Linked DNA regions of Rattus norvegicus. The protein of the gene in region 1 purifies or fractionates together with the protein of each later gene. This does not show direct contact. Links are inferred from orthologs where the notes say so. Each region holds a gene or a part of one and is shown on either strand. Other genes may lie near its edges. The genes, in order: Themis, Ptpn11 and Grb2.

What was found.
Region 2: the proteins of Themis (region 1) and Ptpn11 purify together in Homo sapiens (co-immunoprecipitation; 3 studies listed by BioGRID and IntAct, counting the BioPlex papers as one, with this or other methods). This does not show direct contact. The link is inferred for Rattus norvegicus from reciprocal best matches to the Homo sapiens genes THEMIS and PTPN11.
Region 3: the proteins of Themis (region 1) and Grb2 purify together in Homo sapiens (co-immunoprecipitation; 6 studies listed by BioGRID and IntAct, counting the BioPlex papers as one, with this or other methods). This does not show direct contact. The link is inferred for Rattus norvegicus from reciprocal best matches to the Homo sapiens genes THEMIS and GRB2.

The regions. Positions count from the first base shown.
Region 1 is NC_086019.1:18,382,740-18,386,384, reverse strand, and holds part of Themis (protein THEMIS), read left to right. Parts: intron 1-766; coding exon 767-1,818; intron 1,819-3,645.
Region 2 is NC_086030.1:41,024,863-41,029,008, forward strand, and holds the start of Ptpn11 (tyrosine-protein phosphatase non-receptor type 11), read left to right. Parts: upstream 1-1,216; 5' UTR 1,217-1,392; coding exon 1,393-1,406; intron 1,407-4,146. UniProt on the Homo sapiens protein: Acts downstream of various receptor and cytoplasmic protein tyrosine kinases to participate in the signal transduction from the cell surface to the nucleus. Positively regulates MAPK signal transduction pathway. Dephosphorylates GAB1, ARHGAP35 and EGFR.
Region 3 is NC_086028.1:101,445,275-101,449,374, reverse strand, and holds the start of Grb2 (growth factor receptor-bound protein 2), read left to right. Parts: upstream 1-1,236; 5' UTR 1,237-1,297; intron 1,298-4,100. UniProt on the Homo sapiens protein: Non-enzymatic adapter protein that plays a pivotal role in precisely regulated signaling cascades from cell surface receptors to cellular responses, including signaling transduction and gene expression.

The DNA.
Region 1 (3,645 bases):
CTGAGAGCTCCAGGCGGGTCCCTTGGAGCAGAAGTGGTGGTCTTACCTCTGCTCTCAGGTGTGTCAGCGCTCCTGGTAACCAACTTTGAGCTCTGCGCACAGGCAGAAACTGGAAGGATCCTGCCCCTGACTGCTCCTAGGTTCCTGTGACTGCTCTAGGTGCACGTTCTGCTTTGGTCATGAATGTGAACAGAAGTGGTGTTTTTCTCTGAGCTCTCAGGATTGTCTGCACTCCTGAGAGTCCAACTCTCTCCCCCATGGGATTTGGGTGCCGAGAGCTGTGGGATCGGGTCAGCTCCAGGCACAGGCAGAAACCCATAAAGGTTTTACATATAATCCCTGTATCTCAGAAACATGACTTAAAATCAAGTGATAAGACTTTCATACTTGTCTATTTATATGTACATTCATATAGATATATGATACATATCATAAAATATACGCATAAATTCAAGAATGGGCAGCATTTGAGTCAGGAGCATAATTACCATTTATAGTAATAAGCAAGAAGTAATTTTTGCTGAGATTCACAGAGATACAAAGGGTTGGGTAACCTCTATTTCTTAAGTTGAGCATGTTGGTATACGTATCCCTTTTTCTCATCATAAAGTTTCAAAACTGCAAAGTCATATATAAAGAAAATCATATCATGACTATTTGAGTTCTTTTCTCTTCCCTAAATGAATAGTGCCAGGAGACTATCTCTACCAGGATACCACGAGAGCACTCTGAACAAAATATCAGTTATTTTCTCTTTCATTTTCAGTTCAAAAGGAAATAGTCCGGATTCTCCCCAGTTTAGACGTTGAAGTCAAAGACATTACTGACTCTTATGATGCTAGCTGGTTTCTTCAGTTGCTGTCTACAGACGATCTTTTTGAAATGACCAGCAAAGAGTTTCCTGTAGTAGGTGAAGTCATCGAAGTATCTCAGAGGAACCAACTGCCCCAAAATATTTTACAGCCTGAGAAAACCATTATCATCCACAAAAAGTACCAGGCTTCAAGAATCTTAGCTTCAGAAATTCGCAGCAATTTCCCTAAAAGACACTTCTTGATCCCTACTAGCTACAAAGGCAAGTTCAAAAGAAGACCCAGGGAGTTCCCAACGGCCTATGACCTGCAGATAGCTAAGAGCAAGAAAGAAACTCTCCACGTGGTGGCCACCAAAGCTTTTCATACACTTCATAAGGAGCTATCCTCTGTGTCTGTTGGAGACCAATTTCTAGTGCATCATTCCGAGACTACAGAAGTTGTCTTTGAAGGAACAAGAAAAGTAAACATTCTTTCCTGTGAAAGAATCCTCAGTAAGTCCCGTGAAGCAGCACAGCTTCCTCTGTATATGGAAGGAGGTTTTGTAGAGGTGATTCACGATAAGAAACAGTACCAGATTTCTGAGCTCTGCACACAGTTCTGCTGGCCCTTCAATGTGAAGGTGGCTATGAGAGATCTCTCCATTGAAAACGACATTTTGGCAGCAACTCCGGGACTGCAGTTGGAGGAGGACATCACAGATTCTTACCTACTTATCAGTGACTTTGAAAATCCCGAGGAATGTTGGGAAATTCCCGTGGGCCGCTTGAAAATGACTGTTCGGTTAGTTAATAGTAGTAGTTTGCCTACGGATGCAGGACCACTTCAAGTTAGGAGTCTTGTAGAAGAGATTACCGAGGAACAGTATTACATGATAAGGAGATACGAAAGCTCAGTATTACATCCCCCGCCTCGCCCTCCCAAACACCCCTCAGCTGAGGATATGAAGCTAACCTTGTTGAGCTTAGCAGAAGAGAGAACGATAAATCTGCCCAGGTCTCCCAAGGTAAGAGAATGATTTCAGAGTTTTATCTTCTTCTTGAGGCAATAGGTTCTAAGCTGTTTATGAATACGCTTTTTGTTTCCTTTCTTTTTTTCATGCCAATCTGAAGCAAATCTGCTTGACACGTGCTCCATGAGGGAATGTGAACAGAGCAGAAGCTACTCTCTTGTAGCATTTGATGCTCCATCAGTAGATAGGGCATGGAATCTATGTAGAGGTAGAAATAGAAGGGATGGCATTTGGATATGACCACATGAATTGACATTCTAATGGGTCTTGGCGATTAAATATGTTTAATAAGATGCCCCACCAAGAAAATCCCTTTTATTTTAGAAATGTGGTTCATTTTCCTTAGGTAGAATTATCTTAATACTTCATTCAGGAAATGAGCATAGAATAAATTCCCAGCTTCATAGGATGGGGGTGGGGAGTTTACTGGTAACATGCATCTCTAACGCATGCCTTCATTTTGTTTTATGTGCAGAAAGGTGTAAAAATATCTTGGCCGAACTGTGTGAGAGAATGAGGGCATCTACCCACATAATGCCTCTTAGAATTGTAATATTTAGCAGTTCTACTAGAAAGATGAAGTCAATAAACTACAGACACTAGGAGGTTTTAACAGATCCACAACTGTTCAGGACATTGGACAGTGGTTTAGCATTGTTTATACTTGATGTTGATTCTTGAGCATGCCTGAAGGCTACCTGAGCCAAACCTACCCCCTCATCCAGAATGCACATTCTTTTAGTGTGTGTGTGTGTGTGTGTGTGTGTGTGTGTGCGCGTGTGTTTTGTGTGGAAGGAGTGTGTTCCCCAGCAGATGTTGTGCTAGAAGCACAAGGAAAACTAAGCAATTAGTAAAAGAGATACTTTCCGATTGCTTCTCATATTCAGAAAAGATAGTATTGCTGGACATCAAGACTCATATGTGGATGCTGATCTGCCTGAAATTGTATGTATGAGAGACTGTTTTAATTGTATGCTAAAGGTTAAATCCTTAAGGGTCTCTGAACTCATTTGCTGGAAAAAGAATAAAGCCACCAACATTTCATGTCTGATAAAATCATTTTTAAAAATGACTAAACAGAACAGTTACAAAATAATATTGAGCAGCCGACATGTAGGATTTCTTTGATGCTTACACTTAACATGTTGTTTTCACTGAGTTGAATGATACAAACACTGGTGTATAGGTTCTTGGCACGTAATTTTAAAAACGAAGCAAGAAAAAAAAATCTCACACATATTTGCAGAAGTAGCAAGGAAACATTCAAAGCAGAGCCTTAGAGCAGATCAAAACCACACTTTAGAAGTGACAGTGGGCCCCGTGAGTGAAGACATTCAAGGGCTCCATTATTGTTTAAGTTTTCATTTATGGGTCCAAAGGTTGCCAACTTGCCATGCCTAGGAAGACAGACACTCAATTGATGGAATGCATCCACCTTACTGGCCTCTAGGGATCTCTGTGGGGCGTGTCTGTTGTTACTATGGATATAGTGTGGTTGGTTGTCCATTTTGATTGACAAGCTTACATAGGCTTTGGTCGCTGTGTGTGTCTCTGTCCAGCATTCGTCTGATTTTAATTATATATAAGCATAAGAAATTGAATAAGGTATTCCGAACAGATTAGTAAGTGCATTGTTCAGAGTGGTGTGTGTGTGTGTGTGTGTGTGTGTGTGTGTGTGTGTGTGTGTGTGTAGTATATGTGAGTTGAAAGTCTCAGACTGCCAAATTTTCTGATATGTGTGAATGATGGTGTAGAATTCTAAATGACTAAACCATTCCCTATTCTTGCCTACTTCAAAGTGAGAAATGGATACTTTCCTAT
Region 2 (4,146 bases), on another chromosome or scaffold:
CCAACCCCCAGAGTAGTGCACTGGTACTAACAAATTTGGACATTCAAAAGAGAAGTTATGGAGTGTTTCTTTGAAGTGGAAAAGGTCAAATTTCTTAATTTAGAAAAAGAATCGGGGGTTGGGGATTTAGCTCAGTGGTAGAGCGCTTGCCTAGGAAGCACAAGGCCCTGGGTTCGGTCCCCAGCTCCGAAAAAAAGAACCAAAAAAAAAAAAAAAAAAAAAAAAGAACCAAAAAAAAAAAAAAAAGAAAAAGAATCACTTGTCAGGATTGCTAATCCCAATATGGGTGAAACGGCAAAAAGAGAAGAAAACCGTGCTCATCTTACTTCAAGCTGTCGAAGTATGGCCATGGCATATAGGTTTCTGTTCTCAAAAACAAACAACTCCCCCTCCCCACCCCCCAAAAAAAATCAACGGGAGGCTGGTTAGATGGCTCTGCAGTAAAGAACGCTGTTTTATCAGAGGTCGTGGGTTTTGCTCCTAGCACCCACATGGTGGCTCACTGCCATGTAACTCTATCAGGGACTGTTGTCCTCTTCAGACCTCCTTGGGCATCAGACACACACACACAGTTACACACATACTTACACGCAAGGCGACTACTAATACACTAACATTAAAAAAATATAAAAAGCAATAAATCTTTTTTTTTTCTTTCTCTTTTTGACAGGGTCTCCCTACTTAGCTGTCCTGGAACTCCCAATACAGACTAGGCTGGCCTCGATCTCACAGTGATCCACCTGCCTCTGCCTCCCTAGTGCTGGGATTAAAGGGTACACCACCTTGTGAGGCAAAAGGAATAAATCATCAAACATTATCTATAAATGTGTGGGTATGTGCACGTGCCCGCGGAGGATGGCGGATCCGGTAGAACTGAAGTTACAGGAGGTTGTGGGCTGCCCCATACAGGTGCTGGGAACCGAACTCGGGTTCCCCCATCCTCCGCTTATTTGTTTGCTTTTCACGTGTGCACCCGCACTGGATGCGTAGTGTGTACTCGCACTAATGTGCGGCGTCCCAGATGAAGAATCTCCCTGGCGTTCAAGTCTGTAAACCGCACAGATTAGGAGGAGGAGGCCCCCCTCCCCAACCTCCAGCACTGGTCAGGGCCCTGCAAACCGGAAGCAGAAAGTGGCTGTGGCGGCGGGCGTGATGACTTCACGTCGGCGCCGGCGGCAAGGGGCGGGGACGAGGGCGGAGCGAGCCGGGCGGCGGGGCGGCCGCGCAGTGTCCGGGATCCAGGCCTGCCAGGGGTTGTGCGCGCGGCCGGCCGGCTCTGCCCGCTCCCGTGTCGGCTCCCGAGCGGGGCCTCACTCGGCCCCCTCCATGTGACGGCGCCTCGTGGAGCCTGAGTGAGCAGCGGGTCCGTGCGGAGCCGGAGGCGGGAGGAACATGACATCCCGGAGGTGAGCCGCCCGCAGGAGCCGGGCCGCGGCCTGGGTCCCCGCCGCTTCTGTGTTGCGCGGCCGCTGGGGGTTACACTCGGACTCCCCACTGGCGCGGCGTCCCCGCCGCCCCACCGCCCCGCCCGCGGGTCCCCATTCATTTCCTGCCGCCCCGAGTTCCTGCTCCCGCGACTCGGGATGCCCGTGGGGACACCCGCGGCCCGGCCGGCCGTCGCATTCCTGACCCATTGCCTCATGAGCGTCGCCTCCTGGGGATTCCGAAATAACCCCGCGCGCTCGGGGAGGCGCCCGGGCCACCGCGGGGCCTTCACACGGGACCCTTTCAGGTGCCCCCTTTTCGCCTCCTCACCCTCGCCCCAAGTGCCAGAAGTGGGAAAACTGAATCTGTCTGCAGCCTCTGGGAGTGTTCCCAACCCCACTGTGATCTTTGCTTTGAAAGGTGGGAGGGAAGGGAACTGTATCTGGTCGTGGAATTGTTCCTTCGGGTAACGAGTGCGTTCCCGTCTTACGAATGTGGAAACTGAGGCTCGGAAGTAAAGTGCTCGTCACAGGATAGGATTGGAAGCTGAGATCAGGAGGAGGATTAGTGAGTTTCAACTTCAGAGACTCAATTATTGACATTGACTTCGCTCTTACTAGAAGCCAGCTTAACACGTACCGCAGTGGTACGAGGTGGGTGGTGGTCTCCCTTTCTAAACATGGACCAAATTGAGTTTTCCAGAATTAAGTACATTGTGGCCTTTTACCTTGGTAAGAGGTGGAAAGAGAATCTCTCATTGTGTTGCCCAGGTTAGCCTCCAACTTACATTCCCGTTACCTCTCAACCTTGTAAGTGCTGGGGTTATACAGTCTGGATCACTATAAAAGCTTGTTTTATTTAGTTTTAAAATCAGCTTTATTGAGATAAGTTGCTTCTGATCCGGCAGACAACATGATAAACCTTGACATCTGGGAGATGTCACCACTCCTGGTAAGGTTTTCTCAGCTCTCTCTTACCAGTCCTCTGCTCTCCTTCGACCACTGTTTGGTTGTTACTTTTCTAGAATTTTGTATTAATGACATTAGACAACTATGGACTGTTTTTTTTTGGGGGGGGTGTCCTGATTTTTATTATTGAAAGTTTTTTTTAACATGTATTTATTCATTGTGTGTGGACCCAAGGCATGGTATGCATTTGTAGGTCGGAAATTGATACATGGAGATTGGCTCTCACTACCACACAGGTTCCAGGGATTGAACTCAGGTTGTCAGGCTTGGCGACACGTGCCGCCACACCCCGGCGTAGCGTACAGCGTCCACGTTCACAGATCCATCCATATTGCTAGAGTTCTATTACTCGGCTGCTGCCAATTGTATAGCGTTCCCATTGTAGGGCTGTTTCCTTTTTTACCCTTTCTGACAGACCTTTGGCTGTCTCTAGAATTTGTCACTCACATGTGATTCTGAGAATGCTCCTGCAAAGGCCTCAGTATGGTCTCACCTCTTCGGTGGCCATCTACAAGTTGAATGGCTGAATTTACTGTGTACAGGCACTTGCAGCCTGCCCACAGAAGGGCTGTCACTGTTTACTTTCCAGTCTTACTCTGTGAGGGCTGCATACAGCTTGTCTGTATCTTTGAGTTCTGATTTCCTAGTTTTATAAAGATCTGTTTTGATTTTGCATGTATAGGTAGCTTGCAAGCATGTGAATGCATGTGTATGCCTCATTCCTGGGGTCAGTAATTGATTACTGTGTGAAGTGTGGGTTCCTGCTCTCTATTCCATGGGGCTCTCCAGTTGTCCCAGCACAGCTGCTGGGGAACCTCTCCACAGGTAGAGTCTGCTCCATTGTTGAAGGATACTTGTCCTTCATGTGAGTTTGTTTCTTGACTCGGTTCTCTTCCATGGATTTTTCTGTATCTTCACGTCAGTCCCGAATGGTCTTGGTTCTTTCTTTCTTTTTTTTTTTTTTATGTTTTTTTGTTTAATATTGTGTGTGCACGCACAGAGGTCCGAGGAATGTGTCAGAGCCCTTGGACTTGTAGTTAAAGGTGGTTTTAAGTTGCCTCACACGAGTGCTGGGAATGAAACTTGGGTCCTCTGCAAGAGCAGCAACTGTTTATAACTAGTACACGTGTTTTGTTTTCTCTCCTCTCCATGATCTCAGTTATTGACTCTTTCTCCCTCTTTCTTTCTCTCTCTCTCTCTCTCTCTCTCTCTCTCTCTCTCTCTGTGTGTGTGTGTGTGTGTGTTCGTGTTCGTGTTCACATGTGGAAGTCAGAAAACAATTGCATCCTCGGGATGGAACTCAGGTTGTTAGCAGTGTACGTTTTCACACTGAGCTATTGTGCTGGCCTGAGGAGCTAAGAAGGCTCTGCGTTCTGACGGGGGATTCAGGGAAGGTCTCTTTGAGGAAGTGATCATAGGAACTGACACTTGGATGGCGAACACCATATTGATGTTTGTTTTACTTAATCATCACGGTAAAGCTGGACAGGGTCTCATCATGTCATACCAGTTGGCCTAGAACTTTCTACGCAGAACAGGCTGACCTTGAGTGCTCGGAGCCACCTGCCTCTGCTTTGGCGGTGCCACTGTCTCTAGTCCTAAAACAGTTCATTTTGGTTAGCATTGCAGACTTCACATTTTCGTGAGCCTTCAGTAACCAACATGTGGGTTCATTCAGCGTGTTGGCTTCTCAACCTTGAAGGTAGGGAAACTTAAGCCCAGAAATAATTGAATGGCTGGTCCTGGGCCAGCC
Region 3 (4,100 bases), on another chromosome or scaffold:
CTCTACCGCTCCCCCATAGCCGGCAGCCCCACATAGGAATCTATGTACTTTGCATGGCACAGAACACGACTTTCTCACGCCTCCATCCATCCCTCTGTTCTTCTGTGCTATTCCGTTTGCCGGCTATGGGCTTACCCTGGCTCCTGTGCTGTGCAACTCCTACTCACCCTCAGCACTCGGCGGCACATCACCTTCTTTGTTAAGTCTTTTATGCAGTGGGCAGAGGAACAGAGCCAGCCTTTCTCCATCTTTTTGGCTTCCTCAGCATTCCCCCAAAGTACTATGTGTAAGTGTTATAGTTTGTGTGTGTGTGTGTGTGTGTGTGTGTGTGTGTCTGCACGAGGGTGTGTGCAGGTGAATGCCGGTGCCATCAGAGGCCAGAGGCACTAAATCTCCTGGAGCTGGGGTTACAGACAGTTGTGAACCATGGGATGTGGGTGCTGGGAACTGAAATCAGGTCCTCTGGAAGAGCAGCAAGCGTTTTTGTTTTGTTTTTTTGTTTTTTGTTTTGTTTTTGACCTCTGAGAGGTCTCTCCAGCCCAAGACATTACTTGTTTACTCTTCTGGTGCTTCTCTCGATTGATTGAATCGCTTAAGGGCCAGGATCTCTGCTCGTCGTTTCATCTTCTTTACCCAGCACAGTGTTTACCTACAGTAGGTATGTAGTTCACTCGGTGAACGGACTAATCAAACAGTTCATCAAACACTGCAGGTTGTACGAACCAGATTCCCAAACATTTCTAGATCTGGTCCTCTATTTGGGTCGAACCATCCTGAGATCTGCCGCCCCTCGACCCCTCCTCGAGGCCTCTTTGCTTTGCTTCGATAGAAAGAACGCTATTCGAGTGTGGAAAGCGCTATTCCGCTAGAGCAGAGCTGTAATTCACTTGCTCCGGCACGCAGAGGGTTACAACGGCCCAGGGGCGGAGCCGAGTCCCTGCCACCTGCTGCGGGGCGAGCTGACGCATGCGCGAAGTCCCCCTTAGGCTACCTGCCGGGCGGAGCGGAGGAGGAGCGCTTGCGCTCTGGGCCTTTTCCGCCGGGGAAAGTCTCGCGGGGGCGGGGCGCGGCGGGGCGGGGCCGCGTGGGGAAGTTCTCGCGGGACCCTGGCGAGGAGCGGAAGCTAGGCTGCTCTGCTGCTTCTGCGATCGGGCGGCGGCGGGGCGAGCCAAGCTGCGGCGGGGGACGGCGGTCTGGGCAGCGGGCGCCGCAGTCAGGGAGCAGCAGTGAGGTTGGCGGCCGCGGGCGGCAGCACAAGGCGGGCCAGGCCGGGTGAGGGAGCGGACGGCACGTCGCGGTGAGTGCAGGAGAGCGGGCGGGAAGTGAGCGGGGGCTCCGTCGTCCCCGCGCCGCGCCGGGCAGCTCGGGCCCGGTCTGCTCCGGGCTGCCGGGGCGGGCCGCTCGCGGGTCGGGGAAGGCTCGGACCGGAGCGCAGCGGCTGCGCAGCCGTCTCCTCGTTTCCCCTTTTGGGGCGCTTCCTTCCTGGTGTCGGTCTTCCTCCCGCTCGGGGCAGAGACCGGGCGAGCCGACGATTGAGGTCCGGTGTGGCGGCCGTCCGGCTGGGCGCAGAGGAGCCCGGAGCAGCCGAGAGGCACAGGGTGCTGCTCTGAGTCAGGCTGACTGAGCCCGGGAGGCGGGGGATTCGGTGCCGGCTGCTAACGTGGTGATTGATGCTCCTTTGACCTGCAAGGCAACCACGTCACCGTCTCTTGGCATCTTGCGGTCGAATTGTGTGCGGGAATCCACCATGACTTAGAATGATTGTTACCCGGACCCACCGACTGGTCTTTGCGAGAGTTGGGAGCTTCTTTTGTAGAAGTACTTGAGAAAAAAAAATACTTGTTGTGGGGGGAAAAACAGCAGCAGCTGATGGGAATGCTGGCAGGAAGGATTTTCGCGGAGAGAGCCCCGCTGGTTCATGTCCGTTTGCAACGCTCTAGGTTGTGTGGGTTTGTAAGAAAGTGATTTTTAGGGTGTCTTCAAAAGCTATATAGCAGTGCAGTTTGCCGGGAAGCCGAGGCGCGTTCAACGTCCGTCTTTTGATGGTGTTGACATTCAAAAAGAGGCTAGAGAAATTGGCTTTCTTTTGACTTCTTCGCCTCTCTTTCACTTTGCCCTGCAGTTTTTGTCCTTTCAGTCTCTATTCCACTCCACTAGGGACACGAAGTACATTTTTTTAAAAAATTTATTTATTCTATGTATATGAGTATACTGTAGTTTTCTTCAGACACACCAGATCCCATTACAGATGGTTGTGAGCCATCATGTGGTTGTCGGGATTTGAACTCAGGACTTCTGGAAGAGCAGTCAGTGCTCTTAACCGCTGAGGCATCTTTCCAGCCCCACGAAGTACATTTGTAACGCCAGTCATTGGCGCCTCCACCCCCTTTAGAAAATAATCTACTTCCCCTTCTTGTTCTTCCTCCGCTATAATTTTCGAAGTTTCTGCCGGTTTGAGCACTGTTAATTTTCTCAGTCGTTCTAAGATCCCCTTTTTGGGGGGGGTAGATACCTTCCCTTGTTTGCATTTCTTTTTTTTTTTTTTTTTTTTTTTTGGTTCTTTTTTTCGGAGCTGGGGACCGAACCCAGGGCCTTGCGCTTCCTAGGTAAGGGCTCTACCACTGAGCTAAATCCCCAGCCCCGTTTGCATTTCTTTTAGACTGTCCTCTGTATTCTTCAGCCAGCCAGAAGGGCTACTAAGGAGCCATCGGGGTGCTTGAGGGGGTTTAAGTTCTCCCCCTGGGAACTAGAAAACCCAAAGGACTGAATTCATTGCTAAGTAATCGATAGTGCCATCAGATCACAAGTGGATTTGCCTGTTCGCTTGTGCTATTTGTATTTTGGTGTTTTCTTCACAAGGTATCCTTTTGTGCCTACTATTTTCCTTCTTTCTCTCTCCTGTTTCTCTTCTCTGTTAGTAAGGAAGATTTTGAGCCAGTTTGGAAGCTGAAAGACTCCCCCCCTCCCTTTTTTTTTTTTCGGAGCTGGGGACCGAACCCAGGGCCTTGTGCTTGCTAGGCAAGCGCTCTACCACTGAGCTAAATCCCCAACCCCGAGGTCAACTATTGTTAAATGAGAAATCATCCGTGGAGTTTGTGAAGTAAGATAGCTTGAAATAGAAGAGAACTTTGGATATTTGTGAATTAAGTCCACCTTCCTCTCCTGACTAATGATATAGTCCTAACCAGGCTTTTTAAAATGATTTTTAATTTTGTATGTGCTTGAGTGAGTTTTGCCTGCATGTATGTATGGAAACCGTGTGCATGCCTGGTGCTGTCAGAGGCTAAAGGAGGACAAATACCTTGAACAGGAGTTACAGAGGGTTGTGAGCAGCCATATATATATGTGTGTTAGGAATTGAACCCAGGTCCTCTGGAAGAGGAGTCGGTGTTCTTTAACAGCCTGAGTTGCTATTCTCTCTAGTCCAATAGTTTTAAGCACTACTCACTGGTACTGAGGGTTTTTTCCATGATTTCTGTTATGTCGCATGTATACAGCAGCCCTTATGGAGAATTATGAATTAGGAGACAGCAAGACAGAGCTGCCACTCCCGGACAGGCATTTGGTGTCGTTACCTGCTGACCTCAGAGGCCTACACCTTTGGCCACGGTTATTGAGATTTATTCTTCTGTGTTTGTCAGAGTTGATTTTCCCGAGTTGTGCCAAGTCTAACATACATCATTTTCATTTTGTTCAGACGTAGTGCACTGAAATGCAAATTTTAAAATTTGCTTAGTGCTTCCTCATTTTAGCCTTGATTCTTAAAATTTGTATGTATAGACATAACCTGCCAATTAAGGAAGGGCTGGAGAGATGGCTCAGTGGTTAAGAGCACCGACTGCTCTTACAGAGGTCCTGAGTTCAATTCCCAGTAACCACATGGTGGCTCATGACCATCTGTAATGGGATCTAATGTCCTCCTCTGATGTGTCTGAGGACAGCTACAGTGTACTCATATATAATAAATAAATAAATAAATCTTAAAAAAGAAACCTGCCAATTAAAATTTTTTTATCCAAAAAAATTTTTTTGAGACAAGGTCTTGATATATTGTACAGGTTGGTCTCAAACTATTTCTCTATTGATTTATTTTGAGGCAG